Linked DNA regions of Neodiprion lecontei. The protein of the gene in region 3 purifies or fractionates together with the protein of the main gene of each other region. This does not show direct contact. Links are inferred from orthologs where the notes say so. Each region holds a gene or a part of one and is shown on either strand. Other genes may lie near its edges. The genes, in order: ATP-dependent RNA helicase DDX42, RNA polymerase-associated protein CTR9 homolog, RNA-binding protein cabeza and interleukin enhancer-binding factor 2.

Region 1 (7,304 bases), on a different chromosome or scaffold from region 3:
CTCCAACACCGACTACAGAGATGTACCTATAAGTGTATGCTTAACAAGGGCACGTCCCGAGAATGCCGCTGCGGTTGCTCACGCCGATCTTCCGACGACCTCAGCACTTTGTACCAATTAGCATCGGCTAAACCGAGCTTTGTGTTTACTTGTATGGCACGATCAATCGTTATACCAGAGTTTAAATTACGCAAGGCTCGATTCCTGAGCCCGTTTCAATACCCATTTGAAGTGAAAACGACGATTTGCGATCGGAGAGAGAGAAAAAAAAATGTTACTAAACAGGTTCTTTTTTTCCAATCGTTCAAAGTGAATCATATCCATTTTGGCACAAATTACTCAACTGCGCGCACAGTACGAGCGAATTACTCAAAGGTCGTTCTTCAACGTGGAGAGATATTTATCGAACAAGTATTTAGCGCAAAGCAGCATTGATTAGCTGCAAACTTGGTTAACAATATGAAAAAAGAAATTTATTAGAAATATTTGACCGAGGAAATTCGAACATGGGTATAAAGTAGCGCGTTTCTTTCATTTTTCATTTTCATTTCTTGGGTATACGAAACGGAATACATAATATCATATTCTCTGCATACAGTATGTATTGTAGATCGATAAAGCAAATATTCATTACGTTTTCGTAACGATTATACATATATTAATTTTTTTATAATTTTTTGCGAGGAGTTAACCGCTGATGACCTTATTCTTTCTATACATTGCCACAAAAGTTCACAGGAGATGTTGAGATAAAGATTAGAACAAGTATAGTTAGACAGTTGTTGCTCCGTAATTGGACAGTAGTTGACTCCTCGGTTAGACATTTTTTTTTTTTATGATTGCAGTTTTATATTAAAAATAGAGATAAATCTAAACGACTCATTATTGTATCGGAAATAATATGATGTACTAGATAACTAGTAATCTGCGATTAGCACTATATGTTACAATACAAGCAGTATAAATTTGACCATTGAGAAGTACATCTTGCCTAATTCTATTGTTTCTCTGGCAAATACATAAATATTGCGGATCACAGCGGAGCCCTAAATCATCTTATAGCGGATCGCATTTGTATCTTGAGTGTAAATTGATCATGCTAGGAGTTTTGGGTGAATGCGAAACAAGCTAAAAGACCATTTACTGGATGCTGTGAACCCTTTCCTATAAATCTGATCGTTGTTGGAAATAGAAAATTATGTAACTCGTGCAGAGGACAAACTAATGTAAAAGATGTATGATCGTTGAATCAACTTTATCTTTCGTATATCAATAAATATGATTAAACAGGAACCTAAGGATCAAATTGGCACACGACTCGCACAGAATTGGTAAAATGAGGATTTATTTTCATTATAATAATATAAAACAAAACAGGCTTTGCAGTCGGTGTATTTGCGATGATAGAATAATCGTAGATTTGGGCTCACTGATATGGCTTGGCAGCAATTTTAATCCGACTCACTCCCATCGACTCTTTCTGACCCTCCGCCTCTCTCCCGTTGCCGCAGAGTTAGAATTCTGATATTCCTGGCCCTCCGACTGCTCGCTGAGACCGGCGGCTGACGTAGGAGGTGAAGAAGAGGGTAGCATTGGCGGAGGCGGGGGCATCACGACAGATGCTGGCTGAATCGTTTGCTCCCACGTGTGATCCGAAGACGCACGGAACTATAACAAAAAACAAACAAATAATTAAATAATTTTCGAACGGTTCGGCAGGTGGCAGCGATTACAATATAAGATCATACCTGAGTGTTGTACTGGCTTTTGAAGGCAGCTTTCATCGCCGAGAGTCGATCGCTTCCCGGTCCATGTCTCTCCAATTTTTTGACTACTTCGCTGATGTCCTTCGATGCCGGATTCGAGGATCCGCCACTCTGTAGAATTGAAGATGAATTAACGGTGTACAAACGTGTACTTACAATTACGTGTTTGCAACAAACCTGTCCACTGTTTGTTCCATCGGACACTCGACCTCTGAACCCGAGTCCTGCACCACCGACGTTCAAGCTTTTGCCTTTTCCACCTTTAAATCTCGATTTTCGGAACCAGGCACTTTGCAAGGCCAGATCGAGCAGACCTTTCGGTACATCTTGATTCGCTCCCTCTAAATTTCTCACTAAATGACCAGCGAATTCTTTATCTTTGTCAGTGACCAGAGTGAACGCTGTTCCCTTTTCTCCTGCTCGACCTGTCCTTCCTATCCTGTGTGTGTGCGTGTCTATGTCGCGCGCCACATCGTAATTCAGTACCGTTTTTATGTGAGGGATATCCAAGCCACGAGCTGAAGTTAAGAGTATTGCGATAAATATACCATATAGAAAAACTTCAGACCACACGTCTGCTTTGTTCTCATAAAAGGTATCTCGACGTAAAAAATCAGGGGGAATTGCAAAATCAGTTGAGAGATTTCTTTGAATAGTAAATTTCAATATCGTTATTTCTGTCACAGATGTAGCTTACCTGCGACATCGGTAGCGACAAGTATACTTATTTCTTGTTTCTTGAAAGCAGTGATAACTTTGTTTCGTTCGATCTGGTCCATATCACCGTGCAACAGGAGAACATCGAATTCCTTCAATTTTAGATTGTTCGAGACCTCCTCAGCGTTTAGCTAAGATCAAAAATTGAAAAACGCTCAAAGATCGTAGCCTGTGTTTATTTGCCGTAACTGATTCTCGTTGGTTTATTATAATATTCCGCACCTTTTTAGTTACAAATATGAGTAGACTACCAGCGCTGAGAAATTCAACAATGTTATGCAGTAGCCAAGACCATTTGGCAGCAGGATTACTGTTGAACATGACAACGTGTTGCGTCACGTCTGTGTTAGCTTCTCCTACATCTCCTTGAACAATCCTTATAGGATCCGTGAGCACGTCACGCGCCAGTTTTTCAACCCTCTTCTTAAAAGTCGCACTGAACAGTAGCGTTTGTCTGTCTGGTCTGACATGGTTGCAAATCGACCTTACCTGTGGTTCTGAACATTGTATGTGATAAAAATGAGTTTGTTTGTACAGAACAGTAATGACTTTTGATGTTTCAATGTAAAGGATATCGCCTGGCTGCTCACTCACCAAAACCCATGTCAAACATTCTGTCAGCTTCGTCAAGCACGAGAAACGAAACTCTGGCCAAATTGGTAGCCTTCATCTTGACCAAATCGATCATTCGACCAGGAGTAGCAACGACTATTTCCGCACCTCCTTCCAAGGCTTTGCTTTGCTCCCATTTACTGCCACCTCCGTAGCAACAGCATACTTGTATGTTATATACCTTGCCAAATTTCTTAGCCTCTTGGTATATCTGCAAGAAGATAATTTTCCAGGTAATTATTAAAGTTTATAATTTGTCATTTTCTACAACTGACGGTAAATTATCGTTGCTACAAATTTTACCTGCTGTGATAATTCTCTGGTTGGCGCTAATATCAGACCGATTGGCCCATCGCCTGGCTTTAGTTCTTGCTGATCCATAATGTGCACCAACATCGGCCAAATAAACGCCGCTGTTTTTCCACTACCAGTTTTAGCAATTCCTATCAAATCCCGGCCACTCAGAGCAGCAGGTATTGCTTGTGCCTGAATGGGAGTCGGCTGAGTATACTCGTTTTTTCTAATCGACTTTATCAAAGCATCGTCGAATCCGAAATGTGCAAAGCTGGTGACTGGATTGGGCGCAGAAGGACCGGTCACTTTGATTCCCAAGGTCTGCCGTAAGTCCTCGACTTGCTGCTTGTTTAAATTTGCAATCTCCTCGTGTACATTATAGAAATTCTTTTCAAATGGTTCGTAGTTTATTTCACTGTGATCAATCGGAGGCAAGGGATCAATGTCCTTCTTTTTTGGTGGTGGTATTGGGTTCCCATCTTCGTCATACTCAATCTCCTGATCCGAGTCATCTTGCTGAAGCCCTGCTGTAGGGTTTTCTTCCATATATCTGAAAAACGAAATGCAGTCATTTTTATCACACCACTTTGAACTTTCTTGTGATTGTTTACAATATGGAATTTTTAGCGAATGGAAGACGTCGTATGCTTTTTTATAAATAAAATATTACTTGTAGTAACTCTCCTCGTCGTCTTCATCATCGATGTCAGTTCTGATTCCCTTGGATTTGTCTTCCATTCTCATCTCTTCAGCCAGCTCAGCTTCGAATGTATTCTTTTTAACTTCAGCGTCGATTCCAGCCATAAACGCGTCGAGTGGATCCTCGTCACTGTCACTTTCCTGTTTTCGATTGTCTTTCTTCATAAGTTCGTAGGTCGGAGAACCCGGCGCAGGGATATATTCCAATGAGGAAGTCGGCGCATCGTCATCATCCTCAAAATATCTGATTATGTAAATTGATTTTATAATCGACTTACTTTTTAAACTAAATCCTATCTGGGAAACTTCAATAATAATAGTAACTACCAACTGAACAACACTTACTCTTCCTCAGTTTTGCTTCGCTTTTTAGGTATCCCCCAGTTTGCAGATAGAGCGTTCTCGGTTATAGAATTCATTGTATGATAGCCTTGTTTGCTGAGAGTTGAGTTGTTCGGGGGTGGCGGAATGTTGACGCCGCTTCTCTTGGTTCCAGCCATCTGAAATCCAGCGAAGCCAAAGCCCTTTGGCTTGTTACCACCTCCCCGGTGGTAACTCATTTTTCAGTGCTATCATAAAATCGTTGTAAATACAAAGTCAACTTCAACTTGGTGTACGGTAAATATTTCAGGAAAGGATACCAAATAGCAAAACTGTATACTCAGCCCGGTTAGGTTAAGTACAAGGTTTACTCTACGAATGAAGCAAGAATGTAATTTCCCGCTATTCGACTAAGGGTGCCCATATAATTAATTGAAATTCTGTGGTACTTTACTCACATTAATCTGGCGATATTCGAATAAAATTACGATCACTGTTACATTTAACAATGGTAAGGTGGTCGATGGCACCGGACACTGGACGACCGAATTAACCTCTTTGCGAACGAGTGAATCTCGATGAATCTACAGACCGCCTGCAGCAGCACTGGTATAGAATAAAAATGTCCGAAATCACGCTACGAGCAGATAACAAAGTTCTCTTTCTCTCTTTCTAATAACGCATGCGCAATACGCCATCGCAGCTGACTATATTTAGACTTGGGGGCAATAGCAGTTTCACGTATTATCAACCAAATAACTAACCACATCGGTAAATGAAGTTCTTCATAACCAACAACTATCTATATTTTACAAAGGCGAGAAAATACGTAGATAAAAATGGGAAAGTAAAAACTGCACGCGAGTATGCGTACATGTATAAGTACGACTTGAAATAGCGATTGAAATGAAACTGTAGTAAGCGCGAGGTAATACTTTGATTTGAATCGTTACATCGCTACTTTGTCGGAACACGTAGTTATAATCTGTTATTCCGCATCGAAGGAAATTGAAATGAATATAGTTACACTTTGCACTGTAGTACATAACAAGAAGATAACCCGAGAATTTCTTTGCACGGATTTATAAAAGTTTGACTATTGCATTAAACGTATCGCCTGCCTCTTTTGGAAAGCAATCCTTGGGGATCACCCTTACCATATAAAAAGATCTTTTTTGGAATATTTAGTGTTACAAGTACGCGTGATAGAATTTTATTATTGTTAATTGAAAAGTGTGTCAACCCAAAAAGTACAGATACGTGGCTTTGGAATTTGGTATAGATGTCAAGAATAAGTAAACGATTGGTTGCAAAATCATCCGAAAACTTGGAGTCTTCTGTACCCCATGATCCATTGCTTATCTTTAAGAAAAATTATCAACGTTAGATATTACCACTGATATGTGGGAAACGTGTTTTTGTTTGCGGAATTATACGAAAAATATGAAAAACATCGAAAGCCTGCACTCTAAATATTACCCAAACCTCGATTCCAACTGATGCAATTTAAAATTCGAAAAATCTCCAAAGACTCCAGGAGTTTAGATGTGTAAATTCGTGATCTTGGAAACGGGTGAAGCAACACAGTTAACAGCAAATCGATCGTGTTATTCAACTCGATGCAATCAGTTTCAGAATTTTAGAATTTTTTTTCCCTTGACGTCATCGATCTATATAGACGAAAATCAGTTAGCCGAATTCCTCAGTCTGGTAACAACCGCGCAGTAGAGAGGACGTATGAGAATCGCGCTCCGCAGATTTCGAGTTCCGGGTTCTCTACCTCCTGGATCCTGCGCTCCGGGTCCGCTTCCTGATGCAACGCGAGTTCCAGGACAAGCGCTCCGTGGTCCCTGCGCTCCAGGTCCACTACCTGGTGAAACTCGACTTCCAGGACAACCGCTCCGTAGTTTCTGCGCTCAAGGTCCATTACCTGGTGAAACTCGACTTCAGGAACAAGCGCTCCGTACTTCCTGCGCTCCAGGTCCGCTACCTGGTGAAACTCGACTTCCAAGACAAGCGCTCCGTGGTTCTAGTGGTCCAGGTCCTTGACCTGGTAACGTTCGACCTTCAGGACTAATTTTCCGTAGATTTGGCTGTTGAGATCCTCCACCTGATGTTACTCGACTTCAGGACTAATTTTCCGTAGTTCTATCTGTCCAGGTCCTCCACCTGATGGATCTTGACATCCAGGAGAAGCGCTCCGTAGTTCTGGCTGTCCCGGTCCTTGACCTGGTAACGTTCGACCTTCAGGACTAATTTTCCGTAATTCTGGTTAAACCTGTCATGTTCACAATAAATTATTTCAATTCATTTTTCGTGCAAGCCCAAATTCATTAGCTATCAATGCGCTAGTAAAATTCCAATAATTTTTCATAATTTTCTCATAAACTTCTGGGTAAAATGTGACCTTAAAAAAATTACATTAATCCTTACACAATATTTTTGATGAGATCTAATACTTGTAATATTTATTAGTATTCGAGGTATAACCCGAGGTGGTCAGCGGTGGTCGTTGGTGGTGGTTGGAGGTAGTCGAGCTGGACGAGGAGAACAAGGTGGACAAGGAGGATGAGGATTTGTGCTCGGTGAGTTTAACATTTTTATAATATTTGATGAAGAAGGATCAGTATCAGGAGTAGGAATAGGAGTAGGATCAGAAGGAGGAGTAGGAGTAAGATCAGGAATAGAATCAGGAGTAGGAGTAGGAGTATGAGTAGGATCAGAAGTGGGATCGGGAGTAGAAGTAGGAGTAGGAATAGGATCAGGAGTAGGATTAGCAGTAGGATCAGGAGTAGGAGTAGGAGTAGGATCAGAGAAAGATGTAGAAATAGGAGTAGAAGTAGGAGTAGAAGTAGGAGAAGTAGTAGGAATAGGACTCGGAGTAGGAATAGGAGT
Region 2 (8,691 bases), on a different chromosome or scaffold from region 3:
GGGCGTTCTCGAGCGGCTACAACTGGAATCATTCTGCTGGGACAACGCTCCTGTAATAACGTTCCTCATCCTCTACTGCATCACTCAGTTCGTGTTTTACTCTCTTGTACCTGTGATCCTTTTCGAATCAGGAGCAACTGCGCTTCAGCTCGCACTCCTGACTGCGGATTTCTTCAACATTCTATTCGGGATGTTGACGAACCAGTACAAGGTGTTTTTCTTATTTTTTTATCACGGTATCTTAGGGGCCGTTCAAGTATCAGCCAACGCTAACACAAATAATAACGCTGGCCAATAAACTTTTGAAAACGCGTTAGCTAACGATGAAAAACAGTGGCTGGGCAAAACAAGTTATCACTTGGTAGGAAATACAAAAATTTGCAAAAAAATACGTCGGCTGATAGTTGAACGGTCCCTTATCAAACGTGCTTTCGGTCGATTCGTACTCACACCGTTACTTTTCCAGTTTCATACGCTCTACTTCGTTTCTTACACCTTGACGATGAGCGGCATATATATTTACGCGATTCAACGGACACCGATTTCGTCAAGTTCAAGAAGACAGCAAGTCGAGCAGCCGGCCCCGGACTACAGGTACGAGCTAGTAAAATTCGCTATACGGATTTTATGCTTTAAACCTATAGTTGACGTCGATTTTCAAGCTTGTCGATTTAGCAGGTGTGTTTAAAGCATGGAATCTGTGGCGCGCGTCCACCCCTCCGTGTTTACTTGGCTAATATTTTACAACGATCGATTAAAGCGACATTATTTTAAGACACATGTCACATCCCGACGTTGGTGAAGTTGAAATGGCAACGAGTTCAGGAATGTCGGCTGTCAGCGGTACCCTCGATTTACGCGCCTCGACGCTGAGCAGCGAACGAGAAGCCATCATCGACGCCACGAGTCTTCCTTTGAGCGTCAGCTCGGACACGGCCTTTACTTCGTTTTATGGCAGTCAGGTGAATCTAAAGGTGCGGGAACTGGTTTTGGAAAAAGAATATTCCCTTAAATTTCATTCGTATGACTGCGTAATATTTTGTTTCAGACGGTAACGACGAACGGTGGTGGTGCGGCATGCTAATAATTATCCATTGACATGATGAGACAATTTTACCACCGTACTGTGCGTATAGTTAATTCGAAATCCATTATTCAAACGCAAAACTTCACGCGCACACATTAATTATCATATACACGTCGACGCAAAGAATAAAAACATCACAATCATCACCCGAAAGCAACAGACTTAACATTTGTATTTACAATAATGATTATACAATGATAATAAGAAATTCAGGCGCTAATTATATTAGGTATAATGTTGTCGATGTATGATCGATCCGTAATTGATATAAATATTTAATTATTACGATACAATACTGCATACGTTTAGAGTAGCATTTAGATAATTGAAACGTTAATGCCACTTTATAGAAATATAAAATGAAAAATGCAAAGCTATAACGAAACGGAAAAAGACGTTTTTAACCAAAATATAACAAAACTTCGTAATTAAAGTAGTAAAAAAAATGTGCCAAATGTCAATGATCATTTTAAATTCGATTTCACAACAAGACGCACAAGAAAACAAAACGAATGAAATCCATACACGGCACAGGAAATTTTTTTTATCTACATTCGTTACGATTATTAATATTATTTATCGTGATTTTCAAGATTCAATTTCACGTCTTGCAGTAATTAATAAGTTGTAATTCTTTGATTAACAATTGTGTTGAAATTTGTGTACATACGAAAAAAAAACAAAAAATGGTTATCTTCAAACTGTAATTTATGTAACCCTATTATAACGTATGATTATATAAATAGGAAAGTATCATTTGTGTTTAAATTAATGTGGATTCAATTTGAAATAAATATAATACTTCAAGGACTGTAGAAAAAAAAAAAAAAAAATGAAACCAGCAAAAACTGATTATACACATCCTGAATAGTGTGGTATATCTTGTAAATTTTGTATAATCCAACTGCAAGACTCGAAATACCGTTTTAAATAAATAAATTCCAACAGAAAGAAATTCACGGTGTATACGATAAATTCTTTTTGAAAAGAAAACGTGCGGAAAGTAATAACGCGATTGAAAAGTACACCGTGTCACGTTTCGCGCAAGCGCCGATTTCATTCACGGCAACGATGTCTCGCTCGTCTCACTATTCAATTCGCTTCAGTAGCGATCGTAGCGAGACCGTGGCGAGCGCTAAAGGCCGAAGCGATGGCGAGCATCGAGATACCTCTTCGTGATACGGACGAGGTAAATTTTCATAATATCTACCTTATTTTACGACCAATTAAGCTGGTTTCGATTTCTCATCAACCAAGTTCGAGGCCCGCGTATCTTGTTCGTAAACGAGCCGACTGCGTGTCAAACACACCCAACATAACCTAGACGAGCGGGGCTTCTCCTGAGAAAACCGACGCACTCGTTGTGTATCATTTACTATCGAGGCAACTTACAAATCCACGCTTCCCAATTCGCAATACGGATGAATAACTCCTCTTTCCGCAACTAGGTAATCGAATTGTACCTGGATCAATTACCCGACGGCGATGAGGTTCTCGGTATTTTGCGGCAGGAACATGCCCAGCTCAGCATCTGGGTCAACCTGGCGGTGAGAGTTCTGCTTTGATTTAGGCCCTACATTAGGCGTGTCACCGTTTACCAATTAGACGTATAAATATTAACCGACTGATATTTCTTTACGCACAGCTCGAGTATTACAAACAACAGAAGATCGAGGATTTTATTAAGATTCTGGAGTCGTCGAGGATCGACGCAAACATCGACTACAGGGATTATGAAAAAGACCAGATGCGAGCACTGGACATGCTGGCCGCGTACTACGTCCAGGAGGCGAATCGCGAGAAGAACAAGGACAAGAAGAGAGATCTCTTCACCAAGGCAACGTTGCTCTACACTACGGCGGACAAAATTATCATGTACGACCAGGTAAGTTTTGGATCCACCTTGAGGTAGAAACGTGACAGAAGCAGGCAAGGATTAATTTTGTTTTATTATTCCTACAGAATCATCTCCTCGGTCGAGCCTATTTCTGCCTCCTCGAAGGGGACAAAATGGAACAGGCAGATGCACAGTTTAACTTCGTTCTGAACCAATCGCCTAACAACATTCCGTCGCTCTTGGGGAAGGCGTGTATAGCTTTTAACAAGAAAGACTATCGCGGAGCTTTGGCATTTTACAAAAAGGCACTCAGGACGAATCCCAATTGCCCGGCGGCGGTCAGACTCGGAATGGGACATTGTTTTATGAAACTGGGTAACCAGGACAAAGCCAAAATGGCGTTTGAGAGAGCTTTGCAGTTGGACGCGCAATGCGTCGGAGCTCTGGTCGGCCTGTCGGTACTTAAATTGAATCAGCAGCAGCCGGACAGCATCAGAACGGGTGTTCAAATGTTGTCCAAGGCCTACACGATAGACTCGACAAATCCGATGGTTCTGAACCATTTGGCGAATCATTTCTTCTTCAAGAAAGATTACAACAAAGTACAACATTTGGCTCTGCACGCTTTTCATAATACCGAAAACGAGGCTATGCGTGCTGAGAGCTGCTATCAACTCGCCAGAGCCTTTCACGTCCAGGTAAATACCTACCTCGGCGGTAACGGTTTTAGTCTTTTCTGAACGGTGCTGCCGCTTTACTACACGTTAAACGCAATATTTTCAGGGAGATTACGACCAAGCCTTTCAATACTATTATCAGGCGACTCAATTCGCTCCCCCGGTTTTCGTCCTGCCTCATTTTGGCCTTGGTCAAATGTACGTCTATCGTGGAGATGCCGAGAATGTAAGACAACGCAATTGTTCCGACAAGAGGTTACTTGTATACCTAAGAACTTGTTCGTGTGTTCTATCAAATTCATTTCCCTCCAGGCAGCGCAATGTTTTGAAAAAGTTCTGAAAGCCCAGTCCGGCAATTACGAAACAATGAAAATTCTTGGCTCTTTGTACGCCAACTCAAGCTCCCAGTCGAAAAGAGACATAGCCAAAAGTCATCTGAGAAAAGTAACGGAGCAATTTCCCGACGATGTCGAAGCGTGGATCGAATTGGCTCAGATTTTGGAGCAAAGCGATCTAACGGCTGCATTGAATGCTTATGCTACAGCCACCAGAATTCTTAAAGACAAAGTTCAGGCTGATATTCCACCTGAAATCCTTAATAACGTCGGTGCTCTTCATTACAGGTAGGTCGAAGCTGAATTGTATATTCTCCTTTGTAACTGAGTTTGCAGAAGTAAAGAATTTCTGTTTTACTAGACTTGGAAATTTAGAAGAGGCAAGAAACAACCTGGAGGAGTCTTTGGCCAGGTCGAAAACTGACGCTGAACAAGATCCTGTTTATTACAATTCCATTGCAGTCACTACGACGTATAATTTGGCTCGCCTAAACGAAGCATTGTGCGTATTTGACCGGGCAGAAAAACTGTACAAAGACATTTTAAAAGAACACCCGAATTATGTGGACTGCTACTTGCGGTTAGGCTGCATGGCCAGAGATAAGGGTCAAATTTACGAAGCTTCGGATTGGTTCAAAGATGCCTTGAGGATAAATAACGAGCATCCGGACGCCTGGTCACTCTTGGGAAACTTACATTTGGCTAAAATGGAGTGGGGACCGGGACAAAAAAAATTTGAACGGATCCTGAAAAGTCCAACGACCAGCACAGATGCCTACTCGCTTATTGCCTTGGGTAATATTTGGCTGCAGACTCTTCATCAAAGCGGGAAAGACAAGGACAGAGAAAAACGGCACCAGGACAGAGCCTTGGCCATGTTCAAGCAAGTGAGTATCACCCCTTTTAATGACCGTGAAAAGCCTTGTGGATCGAAGCTATACTCAAAAGATATGATCGAATTTCTCAGGTATTAAGAAATGATCCAAGAAATATTTGGGCCGCAAACGGTATAGGAGCTGTACTTGCTCACAAAGGTTGCGTCAACGAGGCCAGAGATATATTTGCCCAAGTCAGAGAAGCAACAGCTGAATTTTGCGATGTCTGGTTGAACATTGCTCACATTTACGTGGAGCAAAAACAATTCGTCAGTGCTATTCAGATGGTTGGTATTACGAATTAACGAATATCGTTTTATCTATTCACCATGCTTTGAAACTAATTTTTATTTCAGTATGAAAACTGCTTGCGTAAATTCTACAAGTATCATCACGTAGAGGTTCTTCAATACTTGGGCAGAGCTTATTTCAAAGCTGGAAAACTGAGGGAAGCTAAAATGACTTTGTTAAAGGTATAGGAACAGCAATGTCACACATGACTCTTTCTATTCATTTCCGTCGCTGACGCGTCTGATATTTACTCGAAATTCCAGGCTCGCAGAGTAGCTCCCCAAGACACATTACTGTTGTACAATATTGCTCTGGTCCTACAAAGATTGGCGACGCAAATTTTGAAGGATGAAAAATCGACGTTGGTTATTGTATTGCAAGCTGTACATGAATTAGGATTATCCCACAAATATTTTCAATTCCTGGGTATGCAGGGTGAGAAAATGGATCAACTTGCTGAAATTGAGGCAAGAAAATGTCAGGATTTGCTGTCGCAAGCGCAATACCACGTTGCTCGAGCACGAAGGCTGGATGAGGAGGAAAAAATCCTCCGAAAAAAGCAGGAGGAAGAAAGGTAACAATTGGATAAGCATTCCTGTTAATTTTCAAATAAATAAGCGCCGAAAATTTCTACATGGAAATATGCTGTGAATCGATTTGTTTTCAATGTTTCATTTTCATTTTCATTTTTTTTTTTTTTTTTTTTTTTTTTACAGACAAGCCTTCAGAATACGCCAGACGGAAGAACAGAAAAAGGTGGAAGATATGCGTCGCCAGAAATCAGAAGCCATGTTACAAAAACGACAAGAGTATGTGGAGAAAACGAAAAATGTTTTACTATTTGGTGACATGCCATCAGAAAAGCCTACAAAGAAGGGTAGGAAAGTAAGGTCTGAACAATATCTAAGCGATAGTGGCTCAGATAGAAATGAACGTACCGAAGATTCAGCTCCCAGAGAAAAAAAACGCAAGAGAAAGAGCAGCGGTGAGAGAAAGGAACGGAAATCGTCAGGAAAGGGAAGAAGGAAAAGGCATGCTAACAGCGGAGAAAGTGGAGGTAAGTTTGAACATCAGTAATATAAATTGATATTTTCATTGGCTGCTTAAATCCTGTTTTGAATGTTTTGTAATCATTAACAAATCGGTCCCATTTATGAACTACAGGTTCGGGAAGTGATCGACCGAAAACTAAACGTGGCAGAAAAGCGGGAGGAAGTAACAAAGGTAAAGGATTTCGCAAGAGTGGCACCGCTGATTTATCAAGTAAACAAAAAATGCGAATTGTTTCTAAAGAAACTATTTCGACAAGTGAATCTGAGAGCGATAATGAAAGGCCTAACATGGCAAGCGGGTGAGTGATCATTCTGTATTTTCATTTCACTGTAGATGCCTGTGATGATCCATTGTCTAATTTTAATTCGCTAATATTTCAGAAACGAAAGCGGGGAAGAAAACGCAGGGCGAGGAAGGCGTAGAATCGCATCGGAGTCCGAAGGTTCTCGTGCCTCACGTTCCAGATCTCGTTCTAGGTCAAAGTCTAGCAGCCGTTCAAAGAGTGGATCCCGATCGCGTTCAAGAAGCGGTTCACGATCCAGGAGTGGATCTAGGTCCAGATCTACATCTCGCAAAAGTGCCTCGAGGTCGCGAAATCAATCACGGTCACGCTCCAGATCTAACAGCGGATCAAGAAAAAGTGGTTCGAGATCGCGATCCAGATCTAGAGGAAGCAGTGGCTCGAGGAAAAGTCACTCTAGGTCCAGATCCAGATCCGGATCCGGCTCACGATCGAGATCAAGATCAAAATCTGGTTCAAGATCACGATCCAGATCGAAATCAGGATCAAGGTCAAGATCGCGATCAAGGTCACGATCACGATCAAGATCAGGCTCAGGCCAAAGCAAGTCCAAGAGTAGGAGTAGGTCACGGTCCGGATCAAGATCGAGATCGAGATCAAAAAGTGGCTCCAGGAGTAGAAGTGCGAGCGGATCAGCAAGGTACGATAGAAAATTATATATTTGATTACCACTCCAATTTTCGAATATACTTCGAATTTTTGATGCTTTTCATGCTTCATTTCTACACCAGTCCGACTTGGATGATTTACAACCCTTGCTTATTATTATTGATTGAGAAATATATTCACAGATCCGCAAGTCCTGTGTCTCGGAAATCGATATCTGGCAGCGAAGATGGTTCTCGCCATTCGAGTCCGCAAAGAGGTGGACAGAGCGGTAGTGAGTAATTGAAAACTGACAATTTCACTGTCATTAATTTAATAATTACTACCTTAACTACCTATACAATATCCAATTTTATTATAGTTTTTCCTGAACCTAATTATCAGAAAAATAATTTTTTTCACTAATTCTCAATTCACAAGTTGGCCAACGTCTTATCGGTATTCGAAGGGTACTCTTCAGTTTCAAATTGTATAAACTAGACCATGCTAGCACAAAAAAACTGAAAATACTCTTGCAATATTATAAAAACCAATGGTTTAGGATCAAAACCTATGGTGTCTATTTCGAAGGTAGCGAGAATGACATTAACGAGAAAGTGACAAAACTATTCAATTGATACTAAGCCTATTGGAACTAGGAGTAATTGTATGTGAGTCGAATAAGGAATGAACCATTCACACTAACGATAATGAGTTACCCTTCGTGCTAGCTACTGAAAAACAGAGTTGCCAAATTTGCAAGCAAAGAAATATATTTATGTAAGTAGAACGTATTGAATTAGCATCGATGATGTGAGTTTTAATATCATCGAAGCGTTAAGAACGACAAATTTGTGATAATTTAGGAGTTGAAACAACAAAGAAATCTAACAACTGTTACATTTTACCTATACAGGATTGAAATTATTGTAAACTCTGTGTATCAGTGGAAAAAAAAATTACCCGCCTTGAAACCATCAATAAAATATCACACACAAGAATTCATTTGATTGCCTATTATTTTTACAACCTTTTTTATCACAGACCTTACTATCCAAAAAACAAATTTAGTGAAAAGTTTTGACGAAAATTGAAACTTGAATGGGACCACAGAGAAGTTTGCAGCTTAAAAGATGAATAATTACTATCAATGAATTGTTACAGCTCATCGTTGTTACAAGCCTAGTAAAGCAGCGGGTTTCTTGTCGCGTATCTATGCTTACCGCTTTGGAACGAGTACATATTTGACGTTCACAATATAATAAATAGCTATTACAATGCTGCATCAAATTCAGCAAATGGCAAGTATTAATTCGAATATTCGTATAACTTTGAATTATCGCCGCAGGTACAGATGAGTCTAATCAAATCTGAGCTAGAAAACACATGTATAAATTCTACCGCCACGCCATGAAAAAGGAACAACGATAGACAATGCGATTTATCTCCCAGAGCAAACCCATTGTGCGAACTGGCAGATCTGTCGAAGAATTTATATTGCATGCAAAACTCACCAGTCAGCTCTCGATTAACCGCTACAGCTGCGCTGTTGCATCTTGTGACTTCCTCCGTTACACGTAGTTGTCCAGCATTTACGAGGCGGTTACAGTCCTTTCTGAAGCATATCTTGGATCAGCGGTGACTGCAATT
Region 3 (8,581 bases):
CATCGCGTTTCACAACACTTTGACTACATGTATTCTTAAAGATGTTGATATTGAATAGTTCATCACTATTGAAAAAACAGAAGGCCATAAGCACTGGTAAATACGAAGTTTAGATCTTGAGCAAACGTATTCGCATTGTTATTAATCCTATCATTATTATCTCTACAAATACATATTGAAAATAGAGCGAGTGCGGCAAGTAAGACAAAAATTTAAGAAATTTAGTATTCAAGCGAGCAATAAAAAAATCAACGGCTAGTTTCAATTATTAGTGATAGTCGAACAATACAGAAATCGCATCAAGAACTATATTTTACGAAATTTCCGAGAACTGCAAGTAATTCCCAGGAATTCCCTGTATTCGTTTTTTGATTTTTCTTTTTTTCACAATTGGCATACCTCCAATCTCCTCCCCGGCCGCCACCATCACGTCGATCATCACCACCTCCACGCGAATGGTCGTCCCTATCACCTCCTCCTCCGCGGCTACCAAAACCACCTCCACGGCCTCGACCTCCTCCTCGACCTCCACCGCCGCCCATACCTCCGCCACCTCCTCCACGACCACCTTGCCAATTACTTTTGTGCTGTGCGATTTGCACCTTTATGGTAAAACCCTTGAACTCTTTGCCATCAAACCAATCTATTGCTGAGCGAGCCGCGTTCTGATCATCGTATGTCACCGTTGCTTCACCCTTTGGTTTACCTGTATTTTTGTCTTTATACATCCATATCTTTGGCTTCCCAGTTCGTTTATCGTTCTACAAAAAGGTCAATTACAAATTCAAAGATTAATCAATAATGGTATTATATATCTAATGTTTCAAGCGAATGATAAAATAGATTACCTACATTATCAAATTAGGTGCGAATTCTAAACGTACCTTGATAATTCCGATCGCACCAAAGTGTTCGCATATTTCGTCTTCCGTCACGGTAGGATCCATCCCAGAAACAAATATTGTATCTTCTTGAACAACCATCCCTTCGCCGCCACTGCCGCGATCACCATAGCCCCCTGCAACACATCCAATATTAGTCACTGATCTTCAAACCCAAAAACCCTAACTGAATTGTCAACGCATCAACTACCCCTATTCCAATCCCTAGTTCTAGTAAGCTAATTCAAACTGCAAGCCTAGGATGAAACTTGTACGAATAAAATGCTGTTTCACTGTCTATTGCCTTAATATGACATTGAAAACAGTTTGCCCGATGAAAAAATAGGAAGAAAACTAAACCAGCTTTGATTTATTTATAATGAGTAGTATCTGTCATGTAGCACTGTTGTGTAGTACTATTGATCTTACGAGAGCAAACAGTTGTCACGGGGGAAAATACACTTGTAAATTTGAAAATGCTATTTTTCAATTTGTACACAATGTCAAACCCCAATATTTTCCATTTCTATTCTCACATTACTCTTACTTATTACCTAACACATCCATGTTGTTTCAACAGTTGATACTTGTTCCCATCTAATAATTTGAGCATACCATATAATTTATACATATTTGAGTTATTAGCTAATCTAATTAGTGGTCGACAACCCATTACGAATTGGTAATTTAGCGCCAGTTTTTAAATATCTTATCCAAAGAACTGACCCTACAATTGATAAATAGAAAAAATCATGTCCACCTCCTTAAGTATATTTGTAAATTATATTCAGGTGAAGATCTTGCATCTCATAAAATGCACAAGCATATTTTGTTTATCACCTGATACATCGAGGTATTTTAAAATGACGTATATTATTTAAAATTACTCCAAAGAACACTGCATTGGTAATATATGAATTCAATACCAATACATTATTAACCGCAAACTGCTTCTTACACATTGTAAATGAAGACCTGAGAAGCTTTGCTTCAAATACCTATACCATAGATATTAAAGACAAACGTAATTCACCACACTTTACAAGCTGATATCAAAATTTTTTTTAATTCACGCCTCTAAATACGACGTCAAAATTTCATTTACAATCACGCAATAATCTAGCATGAATGACAATACTCAATAAAGTACAAATATTAACACAAGGTTGCAGATCTTCATACAAAAGGGCTGCAACATTATTTCAACCCTTTTAACATCCCTGAATTCGGTGAATAAATCAATCAATTCATTTTAGCGAGGCATCATAGTCATATTATCAATCGCTAGTTTGTTATGGCTAATGACTTCACCAGTTGACATACAATTATCAAGTAAACGCTCGTTGTTCAGACTTTTGCATTGTATTATTGTCTGATTTACCATGAGGAAAATATTCTGGATTAAAATTAATTATAATAAACCATTATTTGGAAGAATTGGAACAAAAAACAAAAAAAAAATTAAAGTTTCACTCAATAAGGAGTAAGATAAAGTGAATACGTATGCTGATTAGTACTTAGCACAGTTATACTTATGATTTAAAGAACTGCTTATAACAAAGCACTTCGCAACTCAAATTGGAGGCTGTTCTGGTTCATTTTTCATTCATCCCTAGCCACACGCACATGGATAATTGATAATTGATTCAAATTTTAGCGCATTGAATCAACCGAACCATAAACGTATCACAATAATAATTTATGAACACCTCAAATGATGAGAGAAATTGCATCGCATATTATCTTTAACGCATTGCAATATGGATAGGTTGTCATGACAGATGTCAGCAGATTATAATTATTATCGGTATAAGTTGAATGGTGATTCCGATGACATAGAAAACAAAAAAAGAGACAGTACAAATTAGTACTGATAGTTTTGAACTTCCTTGTTTCTCAACGTATCCACAGCTACTTAATATCTCTAAATACCCTCCATAATTAAACGTACGCATATCATTGTATCCGGAGTCTGAAACTGTTGCATGGCAGCCCTTTCATATTTTACAAAGTAACCAAGTATTTAAGTTTTAAGTAATTAGAGTGAATGCGTGAATAGCACCAGGCTAGTACAGGCAGCCTGGTGCATTTACCTTTGTTATAACCACCACGGCCACCGCCACTGCTAAAACACAGAAGCAGATATACCAATGAGTCGACTCATGGACAGAGACTGATCGATCGATTGTTGCATGGCGATTCAAATGCTGGTCGCCACTGCTCTTTCTTCTTGATGCACCTACTGTCTAAATGTCCTTGAAGTCTAGATTATTTCTTCAACTATCACAATACACAAACAAGTCATGTCGGTCAGTTTGGGTTTGGCAGTTTTTTTCTTGTCACTTTTTAGGAAATATGTAAACATATACTTTCGTGTGATAAATAGCAATGTAAGATGAATAAATTCAAGGTACACCAACTATTTTTGAACTCAAAAATCGAACGTCACAATACGTTGATATAGTTAAGCATAGTAAGAGATTACATAAAATAAACATTGCTTTGTAGTTAAAAATAGTCAGTTTGAAGTAAACCTCAATCTGTCCCTAAGCATCGTATACAATTAATCAGCACATTTTTTAACCATGCCCCAAATACACGGACAAGATTGAACTTGCTTTCTCGCGTGACACTATTTATTTTGTAAATCGGCAGGTACGATAATTCTTGTAGTGTTGAAATTGACGAATATCTTTGTTTTCGTTACCTACTACTAGATTACATTGGGAATGCAATTATGCACAAAAGTAAATTATTATTTATGCTGAAAATAGATACATCTGCAAAGATTCACCAAACAAAAAGTGAAATAGCTCTTATCGAGCCATTCAAAATGGATTGAAGTATATTGAAATTTACGGTACATAAAAATTCGCGTGTTGTATGCTTAAAATAATATATATCTTTTGCACGAATATCGACTACATATGATAAGGCTCTCTGGCATCCCAGGCTAATACAATTTCGAACAAGATTTCAAAGTTTTTCATACCAAATGTTTAGTTATTGTTTTTCGTTGGATTATACTTCATTACACACTTGTGTAATGCAAGCTAATGTCTTGTACACGGGACTAGGAGAAAAAGCGTTAGATTTGTTCAGTCACGTTTTTATAAAAGAAGAAAATATCACACGCACATTTACAAACGCCACAGTAACTCGTTGTTAAAATTGAAAAATTGAGTTTACCAGAGACCCTGATAATACATATAGTGGATGTAATCTCTTACAGATGCCCTTTAAAAAAGTGTCAGGTCAAGTTTGGTAGTTCTAAATAGCTGCATTGTGTCATTTACGTCAATGACACGCGCCTGCTGCATATTTTCACATTTCTTAAAAAAAACCTTTACAACCGTTTCACGATGATGCAGAAACACAGTGGCATTTATATAGTGAACATGAATGCCGGGATACTTTTACGAAACATACATAATCGACCTCATTTCGTCATTTGTCATATACAACCTGCAGTTACCTTTATACCAGTTAAACCTGTGTGTTAAACCTGTAGACACACTTCAAACACATTAACGCCCAATTGGGCATAAGACCAATGGATATAAAGCATTCATTGTTCGTTACAATCAACGTTACTGTACATAGTAATACTGCTAACAGTACTATTAATAGTCGTGTAATAGAACCTTTCAATTGTATTACCTTTACCATACAGTTTCGACAATTTTTTTTATTTTTTCCATATATTCTTAATTTCTTCTGTTTTCATTTTCCTTTGATGAATGTGTGTATATATCGTATATATATGTAGATATATGCGTAAAATTACTTTCAGGGTGGCTTACAATCAGCTCTTTTCAAATATTTCTTCCCTTGATAACGAAACAATTTTAATTCAGAAACTTACTTGTATCCTCCCCCTCCACCACTGCTTGAGCGGTCCCCATATCCACCGCGATCTCCACCAAATCTACCTCCGCCACCTCCACCTCCACTTCCACCTCCACTGCCTCCTCCTTGACCTGTACATCATTTTTCGCAATAATATATTCAGATTCCAAGCTGCATACACGAGACTGAATTTAATAATAAACACAACTCGTATCCAACAAAGTCTATTTGGACCGAAATCATCAATGAGGTTTTGGGTTCTATAAGTCAAATTCAGTTTCTCACCTCCTCCGTAACCGCCTCCACTTCCACCTCTATTGTAACCACTGCTACCTCCTCCGCTTACTCCAGTACCTCCTCCTCCTCCACCTCCTCCTCCCTGGTTATAGCCAGAGCTATAATTACTGCCACCACCAGATCCGGAATTTCCACCCCCATAGCTGTTTTGACTGTAGCCTCCTTGGCTTGGGGCTTGAGTATAATCAGTTCCGCTAGTTTGGTTATAGTTGCTATAATTTCCATAAGTGTTGCTACTCGGCGGTGGTTGACTATACTGGCTGTAGTTGGTACTGCCGCCTGAAGGTGGAGGATATGATGTATCTTGCCCTCCAGAAGGTGGAGGTTGGGTATACTGGCCATAACCCTGCTGCTGGTAGGCGCTGTATTCTGCCAAAGATAATAACAAATCGAAATTCAACTACAAATTTTCAAGTCCCTTCTTATTCCCACATAGAATCGTAATGACGAAGCAGTGAACTTATGAAATACAATCCAACTGTTTGTTTGACAAAAGTAAGATTTAATGCGATTCATTGAATATCCATTACGTGACTTATGAGAAATAACAGAGTTTTATCCGAATGGTGGCCATGGTAGCATGGAAGGACAGTTAAATTCTTGAACATGGAGTTCATATTTACGTATTGTACAAACAGTGATAGTAATAAAATTTCGTAAATTAAGAGAAGCTTAATGAACTGAGATACACGATCCCATTTCAACTTAGTTGAAGCCACACTAAGGTGTGTTTTTGGAAAGTATGAAATTTATGATAAATCATGTCAACATCACGAATGATAAGACTCCATGTTACAATCAGCAACTCGTAAGCACGAAACGCGTGATTCGTAGTTGATTATTGATCAGGCAGCAAAATCACATTTTCGAAAAGAAAATCTAATGTTATGACTTAACTACGTGCCTTGGGTAGGAAAGAAAAATCATGATATCGAGCGAAAGCAAAGAAACTTAGTATTACCGTCTACAATTAGGTATCATCAGGTTTAATACGATAAAATTAGTGGCGTGGCAAAGTCAAGACGACGAAAAATAGCATGGACGACTGTTAGTAAAAACGCCCGACAAGACGCTGATCCATTACTAACTCGTATGCACAATTATTACGACGATCCGGTAAGGGACGGTCTATAATATTATCTACAAACAAGTTCGGCTATACAACTAATATATAATACTTACGATTATCGGTCATCGTGCCCAGTGGCGTCCTTCACAAATGCGAATAGCGACGCTATAATTGCTCAAGGCACACCGCACACGCAAAAGTACACGCAACGTCTGGGTGTGAGAACACGTAATGGCGGGAACGGCTCGGCAACTTGGGGACTACCGGCGATATCGTGAAGTTATACCTACGAGTTACGCGAGTTATACCCACGGCGATGGCCGACGTCTACCACCACAGTCACTCGTAATTCTCAACTTAGAGCTATGGAGCGTACTTATGGAAGAACCGCATTCTCTAATGGCGGTGCGTTCAAAACATGGTCAAACTCTGGATGCAAATGAGGGTACATAAAATAATCGACGTGGCGCTGATTCATACTGCGTTGATTGATGAAATTGAATGTGTTAGTCACACAGTTACACTTATTGTATCGTAAACGTACACGCTCCATACTTACTACTCTAGTCTCCATGCTCTACCCATCCATTGAACTGGCGAAAAATGGAGCCAAAGTGATGAAAGAGCAAGATTTATATATATTAGGGTTACTCCGTCTCTCTCACTCTGCATTTGATTGGTCGAGTGGTAACGTATCGGCCAATCGAGTCTAGAGCGAAAGGACACATATACCTTTCGCTCTCACTCTTCCGCTAACTCTCCAGTTCTGGACTATGTAGCCTTGCATCAGGCGGAGAGGGTTCTCGGGGTAAAACGCTTTTCGTACGAAAACTATCCTTACTTTATTTGAAAGATAATTAGGTATCAATACCAAATACGCGCGGAACGATAAAACACATATGATAAAATACAATTGTTGCAATAATGTGTTAAATAAATTAAAAATAGATCGAATGTACAAAAAATGAAATAATCAACGGCACGATAATCTTGCGCATTTGGTATTTCTCTTTCAAGTTTTCGGATTAAAACGGTGAGCTTTTAATGATTTTCATTGATTTTGCTCCAGTTTGATCACACACTTGGGATTCCGTTGGTTTTCCAAGCGTTGACTAACTGCAAGTGAGTGCAGACATATTTTGATATACTTGCCTGCGATATTGATAAAATAAATTTCAAAAGTCTCATTTTCAGTAGGCTTCTTTAAATTTTTTGGTATTGCTTCTTATTGTTAGATGTTAAATTATTCAAATATTCGGTTTAAATGTTACAGGATTTGTTATATTGTAGGTAATATGTACAAATATCATAGGATAATTCATGTTTCGATCAATCTACAAATTAGTTATACCATACATTAAATGAAATATTGGTTTCCGTTTGAAATTTGGTGAATAATAAATTTTGCGTTTATTTTACTACTTGGCATAAATATTCTTAATCAATTCATTCTTTTATAATTAGCTAGTTGTTTTGTGAACACATCATTCATCTGATTGACTTTTCTCTTGTTTAATATCAAATTATAAGAGTAGTAAGTAACAATTGTTTGCACAAGAAACTTCGCTCAAATATCGATGATTAGCAAAGTACCTCTTGTGGCCAATCAACATATTCGAAACGGTTCCACATAGATTTTCAATTCCTAGTATCGGTATTCCAACAACTGGTGGCATTGACAAATTGTCATGAATACAAACAATCTTTTTTCATAACCGAGTTTTTCTTTTGTTTAGTATTCAATAGTCAAAACAATCTATATAGACATTAGACTATACTACTGGACACACAGCCTTTTATCGAAACTGAGACGATGAAATTAGGTTTCACAGAACTGCGTGAATTCCTGGATACACTTTGGCCGATTACAGGACTAAAATGGTGTGAGTAAACAGAGTGATAGACAGGCCGAGTTCACCAATAAACATCCTATCTAAAATTACTGTAATTGCCATGAGGTTTTATTTCGCCTATACAGTAACTGATGCATGCACGACAATACATTAACATGTATTGGCTGCAGTTTAAAAATAACATGGGATATTCTTTAGTTAAGAAAAAGCTTAAATTTCTTACGTTGCGTTGAATTGAGCAAGGCACATGGGCAGTTCTATGATTTCTGAATAAATGAATTAAACTCGTCGTCTCGTTTCACTTTGTGTACGAACCACACGGGTATGTATAATCGATTAGATGAATAAAAATGGAAAGAATGGAGATCACGTATTGGAATGCTGCGAGGGTGTGAGACCTCCGGGATGTTCAGGGCTGTGTTTTTGTTTTTTTCGTTTTTTCTCTTTCTTCCGTTTCTTTCTCTCTTTCTCCTCGTCATGCTTCCTTTGTTTCTTATGCTTCTTTTCATGGGGATCAGGTCCCCCTATATCAGTGGTAGTAGCCTCTTGACCGCTCAGAGTTTCGCCAGGCTTATGTTTATGCTTTTTGTGCTTATTCTTGTGCTTTCGCTGCGGTGCCTGATTTACGTAAC
Region 4 (5,330 bases), on a different chromosome or scaffold from region 3:
TAACTCTGAGCGGTAAGGAGGGGATTTTGATCGACCTTAACGGCGTTCGTGTCGTTCCTCAGGACTCCAGAAGCCAGAGCGGTCGAAACCAGTATAAAGTCTGCGTTTGCATGCCTCAGGGAAAATTGTTCCGGGTTCAAGTGCCGCCTGGTAATAAGCAGGTGAGCTGTGCCCACGTGAGTATGACGCCAGAAAACAGTCCTTGCAAGTGATCGAAGGAAGTTTGAGGTCTTGTTTTGTAATATTTTCGCACGACGAGCGATCCGCATCGTATCTGGAAAGATGAAATATCACTTATTTTATTTTAAAGTGTTTTTTAGACCAGTACATTGAATCTTAGGCGAGTCTCCAATTCAAAGCAATGATGATCGTCAACTTCCTCAGAAATTTAGTCTAACGATTTTCCAAGAAAGTTGGTCAAACTGTTTTGTAGCTTGAGGCTGCACTTTTCAATGGTTGAATTTCACTCGCCGATTCTTTTTGTGTATATAGAATAAAATAGAGGTTTAGTTAGTTAGACCACTTACGCGGCGGGCTCGTATGTATAAAGACCGAATATTTATTGATCAAAAGAACTTCGTCGCATTCTCGAAGTGACGTTGTTGATTTGACCTATTACCGTGATACAATTACTCATCATTTATCGTTGACGAGTAAGAAAACGTACTTCAAAATTCATACGAAGACTGCACATACACGCACACGAGACGTTCTACTAATATAATAATAATAATATTATTATTCATAGGAATTATATTAATATTAAGCTAGCCATTTATGAATGTATCCGTATATAAGTAATTACAATATTAATCGCATTGTATATCAAATGTTTGTCAAAATAAGATATTTGGTGATTTAAACTGAAAAATAATGAATCATCATCTATGTTTTAAGCAGGATCAATTTTTTTTACGATCGATCGGCAACGACAAACATAGACATACATGTAATGTGTACGTCACGGGTTGCCGACAAAAATGAAAGAATATACATTGAAAAAATTCATTATCGAGTCTGAAAATGGACGATTTCTCTTTACCCATCCCCGCTCTATTGATACCGATCCGTGTACAAATTCGTAATTATATGATTTTCAATAAATCCAGCGTTATACCATGTATAGAGTCGTTCCAAATCTCACGTGAAATTGTATCAAATGTACAGACAGAGATACAAACACGCCTTATAACAATCTGGAACAAGCTGAGTTTGTTAATTTCATTAAAATATTTCTTATGTGTCTTGAGTCACCATTTCTTCATTTCCTTCTTCCATTTCTTCCTGCTGTTCCTGCTCCGTTGGAGGTTCGTATGCCTTGTCCAAAGGACTGGCAACCACACCGCCAGCCCATACACTCATTTCTACCGCTAATTTATTACCGCCTTCGAGCAATGGCCTGTAACCACCGTGCGCCAAAACTCGTAGCAATGTTTGTGCCGTTAGACACACTTGGTCCTGTTGTTCCAACGTCATAGCGGTGTGTACACGGATGTTTCCACCCTCGCAGGGATCGGAAATTCCTTGAGATAAAATAATCAGTTAAAATTTAACTTTCAGTCGTTGCGGTCAACATTTTGTCGATTAGAAACAACTCACCGGCTGACCCAGGCAAAAATAACCCTGAAGCGAGGAGCTGGAGCACTCGCTTGTAGGCTTGATTTATCGGCAGTGCTTGTCTGCTGGGATTATTCATGATTGCATTATGTGCCAGAAGATCTAGCATCCATGGTGACAGGGGTTCGAAACCCTCGAATCTGGTCCTCAAGTCTCTCAGCAATCTGATCAGTACTTTGATACTCGAGTGATGGGCATTTTCTTCGAACCATCGAGAGTGTCTGATAGCTGCTAGGTGCCCTGTAAAAAAAAAAAAAAAATTGAAACATGTTGAAACAAGGTTGATACTATTTTGCGAATTGAAAATAAAACTTGAATAGGTTTTTAAGCTTTGGTAACTATCTGAATTTTTTCTTGTGAAATTTTATCAAAAAGTCAAACGATCCGGGTGCAACACAATGTCGGTAAATACCTTGGCAGATTTTAACGTCAAGATGCTGCTCAGATTCCAATTTACGTAAGTTTTGATGCAAAGTAGTGATGAGGACACGAACAGTGGCCTCATTAGTTGAAAGATCAAATCCACGTTCCGTTTGAGTCAGCTTAAACGCCTCTTTAGGATTGCCCGCCTTCAAGTCTGTGTTTACTTTCGTGCCCAGCGCTTCAACCGCTGTTTTTGTAGGTAATGTTTTGAGGATAACAACGATGTCTGCTACATTGTGACCCTTGATCATTGTCCCTTTTTTGAAGCTCCCCACTTGTCTGACTTCCTCGAGTTGCTGTAAATGAAACGAATCCATCAATGTTCCTTCTCATTTTCGTTTCACTCGAAAAAAAAAAGAAAAACATAGCTTTAACTGTATTTACAGCCATTTTAAATTTGCTGTATACCCACACAAGCTTCGAAGGTTCCAGGTGCAACGATTAGATTATCCAGAACTCCTTGTAGCTTCGTAACGAGGTTCAAGATGGAATTCTGCTCTTTCGCTGTCGGACACATATCTGAATTTTTCTTCAGAAGTGCCGTAGTAAAGTCAGCCTCATCCGCAGCTGCCTTGACACGAGGAAACGCAGCCTCGCAAAGGGTGTAATCAAAGGGATGTCTGGGCAGGAACTGTTTCCTAGGAAATCCCATTCCACGCCCCATTCCTCCTCGACCACCTCTTATCATGCCGCCGCGAGCACCTCGAACCATATTAAGCCTGCAATGTCAGAACAAATCGAATGCATCGTTTAATCATTTCTGGAGTCGATGCATAGTTCACAAGATATTAAAAATTGGTGGGACGTGATTTCTGGCTCGATTGATGCTTGACGGCAATACGAGAGATAGATGAAATAAAAGAAATGTGCTGATGTGCTCTTTTAAGGTTTAATTTCACAATCGTTCAGAGCTCGCACGATTCTAATCAGGGTAATGTTTGGACTACGTATTGGCCAATCGCGTGTTGAGCGAGAGAGAAACCAATTATAACGAAAATATACCTCTCGTTTTCTCTCTCACTCACTCCTCGGCTAGACTTTCTGTACACGCAAAGCTACCTCCAGTAGTATATGCTCTAAGGTGCGAATGAACATTGAACGAAGAACCTAACCAAGCATAGCAGACTTACATTGCTGGAAGATCCAGGATCACCCTGAAAACAAATCGTATTCCGGTATTTCGTTACTCGGAGTGAGATGAGCTGTTATTTATTCTTCTAATCGAGTATTTATCGCGGTATTTATTCAATAATAACTTACCCTGGATAATTTATTTGAGCAATAGCCGACCTTAGTCCTCAGCGTGTGCTTAGCCGTGCTTAGCCGGTTTAACGATCCTGATGGCGTTTCATCTGAAGTCAACCGCGAGAGGCGCGAGAGCGCGAGTGTGCCGCGATTCGTGTCGCCATCTTGGATTCTACGTTCGAGATCGTTAACTTGAAAGTCGAAACTCTCCAGTTTCAGCCGTTCGAGCTTCAGGTTAGTGTATTGTTGCAAGGTAATCATGGCTTCGGAGCGGTACAGTTTTTCGCTGACTACGTTCAGGTAAGAACAGGGAATTTAACGTATTTCCTGTATTCTTGCGACCTTCAATCAATCAGTCTAACCGTTTCTGGAAAAATATTCAAAATTTTATCTTAGCCAGCAGTTTGAAAGTCCGTCAACTCGGTCCTAACCTAAAAACCACGTCAAGAATCGAAAAAGTTTCGTGTCAAACGAGTCTGAAACTTTATTCTCACCTAAGCAATATCAAACTTGTTTCAAATTTCTGTCTCAATCTCCATGGAAACTTGGAGTGAGCTTTATTGCATCCCATGTTTTGATCAAAGAATCTCCACTTTTTGTCCTGTCATTGTTACTCTACATCGTTTAAGGCTCAAATTTGATTGCGTCGACTATAAAACCTCATTATTCTTCACCATCATTTCAAAATTTTACATTTTTATTTTATACTTACAGCCCGTCGGGCAAGCTGGTGCAGATCGAGTATGCATTGGCTGCAGTATCAGCTGGGGCGCCTTCGGTTGGCATCAAGGCATCCAACGGAGTTGTTCTTGCCACTGAAAACAAGCACAAATCGATACTCTATGACGAACACAGTGTTAACAAGGTTGAAATGGTTACCAAGCATATTGGGATGATATATAGTGGAATGGGGCCTGACTATCGTCTACTTGTGAAGCAAGCTCGCAAAATCGCCCAGCAGTACTTGCTAGTGTACCAGGAACCAATTCCAACTGCGCAACTCGTTCAACGAGTAGCGATGCTCATGCAGGAGTACACGCAGTCAGGGTAAGATCAGAGTTTTCATGATTTCATATAATTAGCCGAAACTTGACTATAATTTCCAGCTGATATTTACTATGACCTCATGCAATTTAAACGGTTTTGAATGAATTTTATATGCTGTTTTTGACTTGATGTTTGGTATCAACGTTATAAACCATGAAAAGTAGACATTACCAAATTTAGATACAAGGTTTTAGCAAGCAGATGTGTGAGAAAAGTATATTTATGGAAAGAATTGTTGAAATCTGAAAGAGTTTGTCGTAAAATGGTTCTCGTTGGAAATTTCCATAATAGATTCATTGTTTGACATTTGTCAATCGAAGGGCATAAGACAAGTCGAAGAAAATTGCTTCACAAAGATTTAAAAGGAACCACGTGTAATGATTTACGCGTTATCTATTTTCGAGTAGCACAGAATAGACGAGGTTCCGCTTCACTTTTATGATTAAGAACAACCGGAAAGTTTAGGTGAGGGATTTAAATGAACGAGTCTGGTGTGCTGATGTTGGAATATGCCTTATGATTTATCGAACATGTGTCCGATTCGAAAGGTAAAGTCAGAATATCGTATGAAAGACGGACCAGGATTGCATCGAGAAATGAATAAAACAAAGTATGGGTGTGTGCAAAAAGCGGGGTGTGTAGGATCAAGGTTCCGGGAATAAGAAGCGGTAATCGGGTGTGTACAGGGTGTGCAAGGCTTGTATTGTTTGGCAAAATGGAGCGACTATTAGGTAGGAGGGATGAAAGTCGATGTATGAGTGAAATAGAACTGTGAAATAGTGCGGAGTACGTAACACATGCATAGTCACATTTTGGAACTGATTAAATAATGTCTGTGCAGAGGTGTACGTCCGTTCGGTGTTTCTCTGCTGATCTGCGGCTGGGACAACGACAAGCCGTACCTGTTCCAGTGCGATCCGTCGGGTGCTTATTACGCCTGGAAGGCAACCGCGATGGGAAAGAATCACATCAACGGTAAAACATTCCTGGAGAAGAGA

Evidence for each region.
Region 1: the proteins of RNA-binding protein cabeza (region 3) and ATP-dependent RNA helicase DDX42 purify together in Homo sapiens (affinity purification with mass spectrometry; 3 studies listed by BioGRID and IntAct, with this or other methods). This does not show direct contact. The link is inferred for Neodiprion lecontei from reciprocal best matches to the Homo sapiens genes FUS and DDX42.
Region 2: the proteins of RNA-binding protein cabeza (region 3) and RNA polymerase-associated protein CTR9 homolog purify together in Homo sapiens (affinity purification with mass spectrometry; 3 studies listed by BioGRID and IntAct, with this or other methods). This does not show direct contact. The link is inferred for Neodiprion lecontei from reciprocal best matches to the Homo sapiens genes FUS and CTR9.
Region 4: the proteins of RNA-binding protein cabeza (region 3) and interleukin enhancer-binding factor 2 purify together in Homo sapiens (affinity purification with mass spectrometry; 3 studies listed by BioGRID and IntAct, with this or other methods). This does not show direct contact. The link is inferred for Neodiprion lecontei from reciprocal best matches to the Homo sapiens genes FUS and ILF2.

Annotation. Positions count from the first base shown.
Region 1 is NC_060261.1:42,758,000-42,765,303, forward strand, and holds ATP-dependent RNA helicase DDX42, read right to left. Parts: upstream 5,036-7,304; 5' UTR 4,868-5,035; intron 4,658-4,867; 5' UTR 4,649-4,657; coding exon 4,434-4,648; intron 4,333-4,433; coding exon 4,060-4,332; intron 3,940-4,059; coding exon 3,399-3,939; intron 3,307-3,398; coding exon 3,078-3,306; intron 2,981-3,077; coding exon 2,706-2,980; intron 2,615-2,705; coding exon 2,464-2,614; intron 2,285-2,463; coding exon 1,944-2,284; intron 1,878-1,943; coding exon 1,749-1,877; intron 1,669-1,748; coding exon 1,462-1,668; 3' UTR 840-1,461; downstream 1-839. UniProt on the Homo sapiens protein: ATP-dependent RNA helicase that binds to partially double-stranded RNAs (dsRNAs) in order to unwind RNA secondary structures. Unwinding is promoted in the presence of single-strand binding proteins.
Region 2 is NC_060266.1:25,828,738-25,837,428, forward strand, and holds RNA polymerase-associated protein CTR9 homolog, read left to right. Parts: upstream 1-2,163; 5' UTR 2,164-2,237; coding exon 2,238-2,276; intron 2,277-2,535; coding exon 2,536-2,634; intron 2,635-2,732; coding exon 2,733-2,972; intron 2,973-3,049; coding exon 3,050-3,622; intron 3,623-3,707; coding exon 3,708-3,827; intron 3,828-3,913; coding exon 3,914-4,224; intron 4,225-4,297; coding exon 4,298-4,823; intron 4,824-4,903; coding exon 4,904-5,098; intron 5,099-5,167; coding exon 5,168-5,284; intron 5,285-5,365; coding exon 5,366-5,676; intron 5,677-5,818; coding exon 5,819-6,159; intron 6,160-6,266; coding exon 6,267-6,453; intron 6,454-6,535; coding exon 6,536-7,096; intron 7,097-7,247; coding exon 7,248-7,344; 3' UTR 7,345-8,046; downstream 8,047-8,691. Other genes in the region: solute carrier family 35 member F2-like, read left to right, coding at 1-211, 467-594, 776-974, 1,049-1,084. UniProt on the Homo sapiens protein: Component of the PAF1 complex (PAF1C) which has multiple functions during transcription by RNA polymerase II and is implicated in regulation of development and maintenance of embryonic stem cell pluripotency.
Region 3 is NC_060263.1:2,144,454-2,153,034, forward strand, and holds the start of RNA-binding protein cabeza, read right to left. Parts: upstream 6,509-8,581; 5' UTR 6,223-6,508; coding exon 6,210-6,222; intron 5,397-6,209; coding exon 5,016-5,396; intron 4,862-5,015; coding exon 4,747-4,861; intron 3,007-4,746; coding exon 2,975-3,006; intron 1,019-2,974; coding exon 885-1,018; intron 762-884; coding exon 400-761; intron 1-399. Other genes in the region: mediator of RNA polymerase II transcription subunit 19, read right to left, coding at 8,316-8,581. UniProt on the Homo sapiens protein: DNA/RNA-binding protein that plays a role in various cellular processes such as transcription regulation, RNA splicing, RNA transport, DNA repair and damage response. Binds to ssRNA containing the consensus sequence 5'-AGGUAA-3'.
Region 4 is NC_060265.1:26,831,177-26,836,506, reverse strand, and holds interleukin enhancer-binding factor 2, read right to left. Parts: upstream 3,419-5,330; 5' UTR 3,301-3,418; intron 3,195-3,300; 5' UTR 3,173-3,194; coding exon 3,171-3,172; intron 3,060-3,170; exon of another isoform or gene 3,043-3,059; intron 2,760-3,042; coding exon 2,453-2,759; intron 2,337-2,452; coding exon 2,030-2,336; intron 1,858-2,029; coding exon 1,600-1,857; intron 1,524-1,599; coding exon 1,237-1,523; 3' UTR 922-1,236; downstream 1-921. Other genes in the region: uncharacterized protein LOC107218898, read left to right, coding at 1-212; proteasome subunit alpha type-2, read left to right, coding at 3,545-3,585, 4,000-4,332, 5,174-5,330. UniProt on the Homo sapiens protein: Chromatin-interacting protein that forms a stable heterodimer with interleukin enhancer-binding factor 3/ILF3 and plays a role in several biological processes including transcription, innate immunity or cell growth.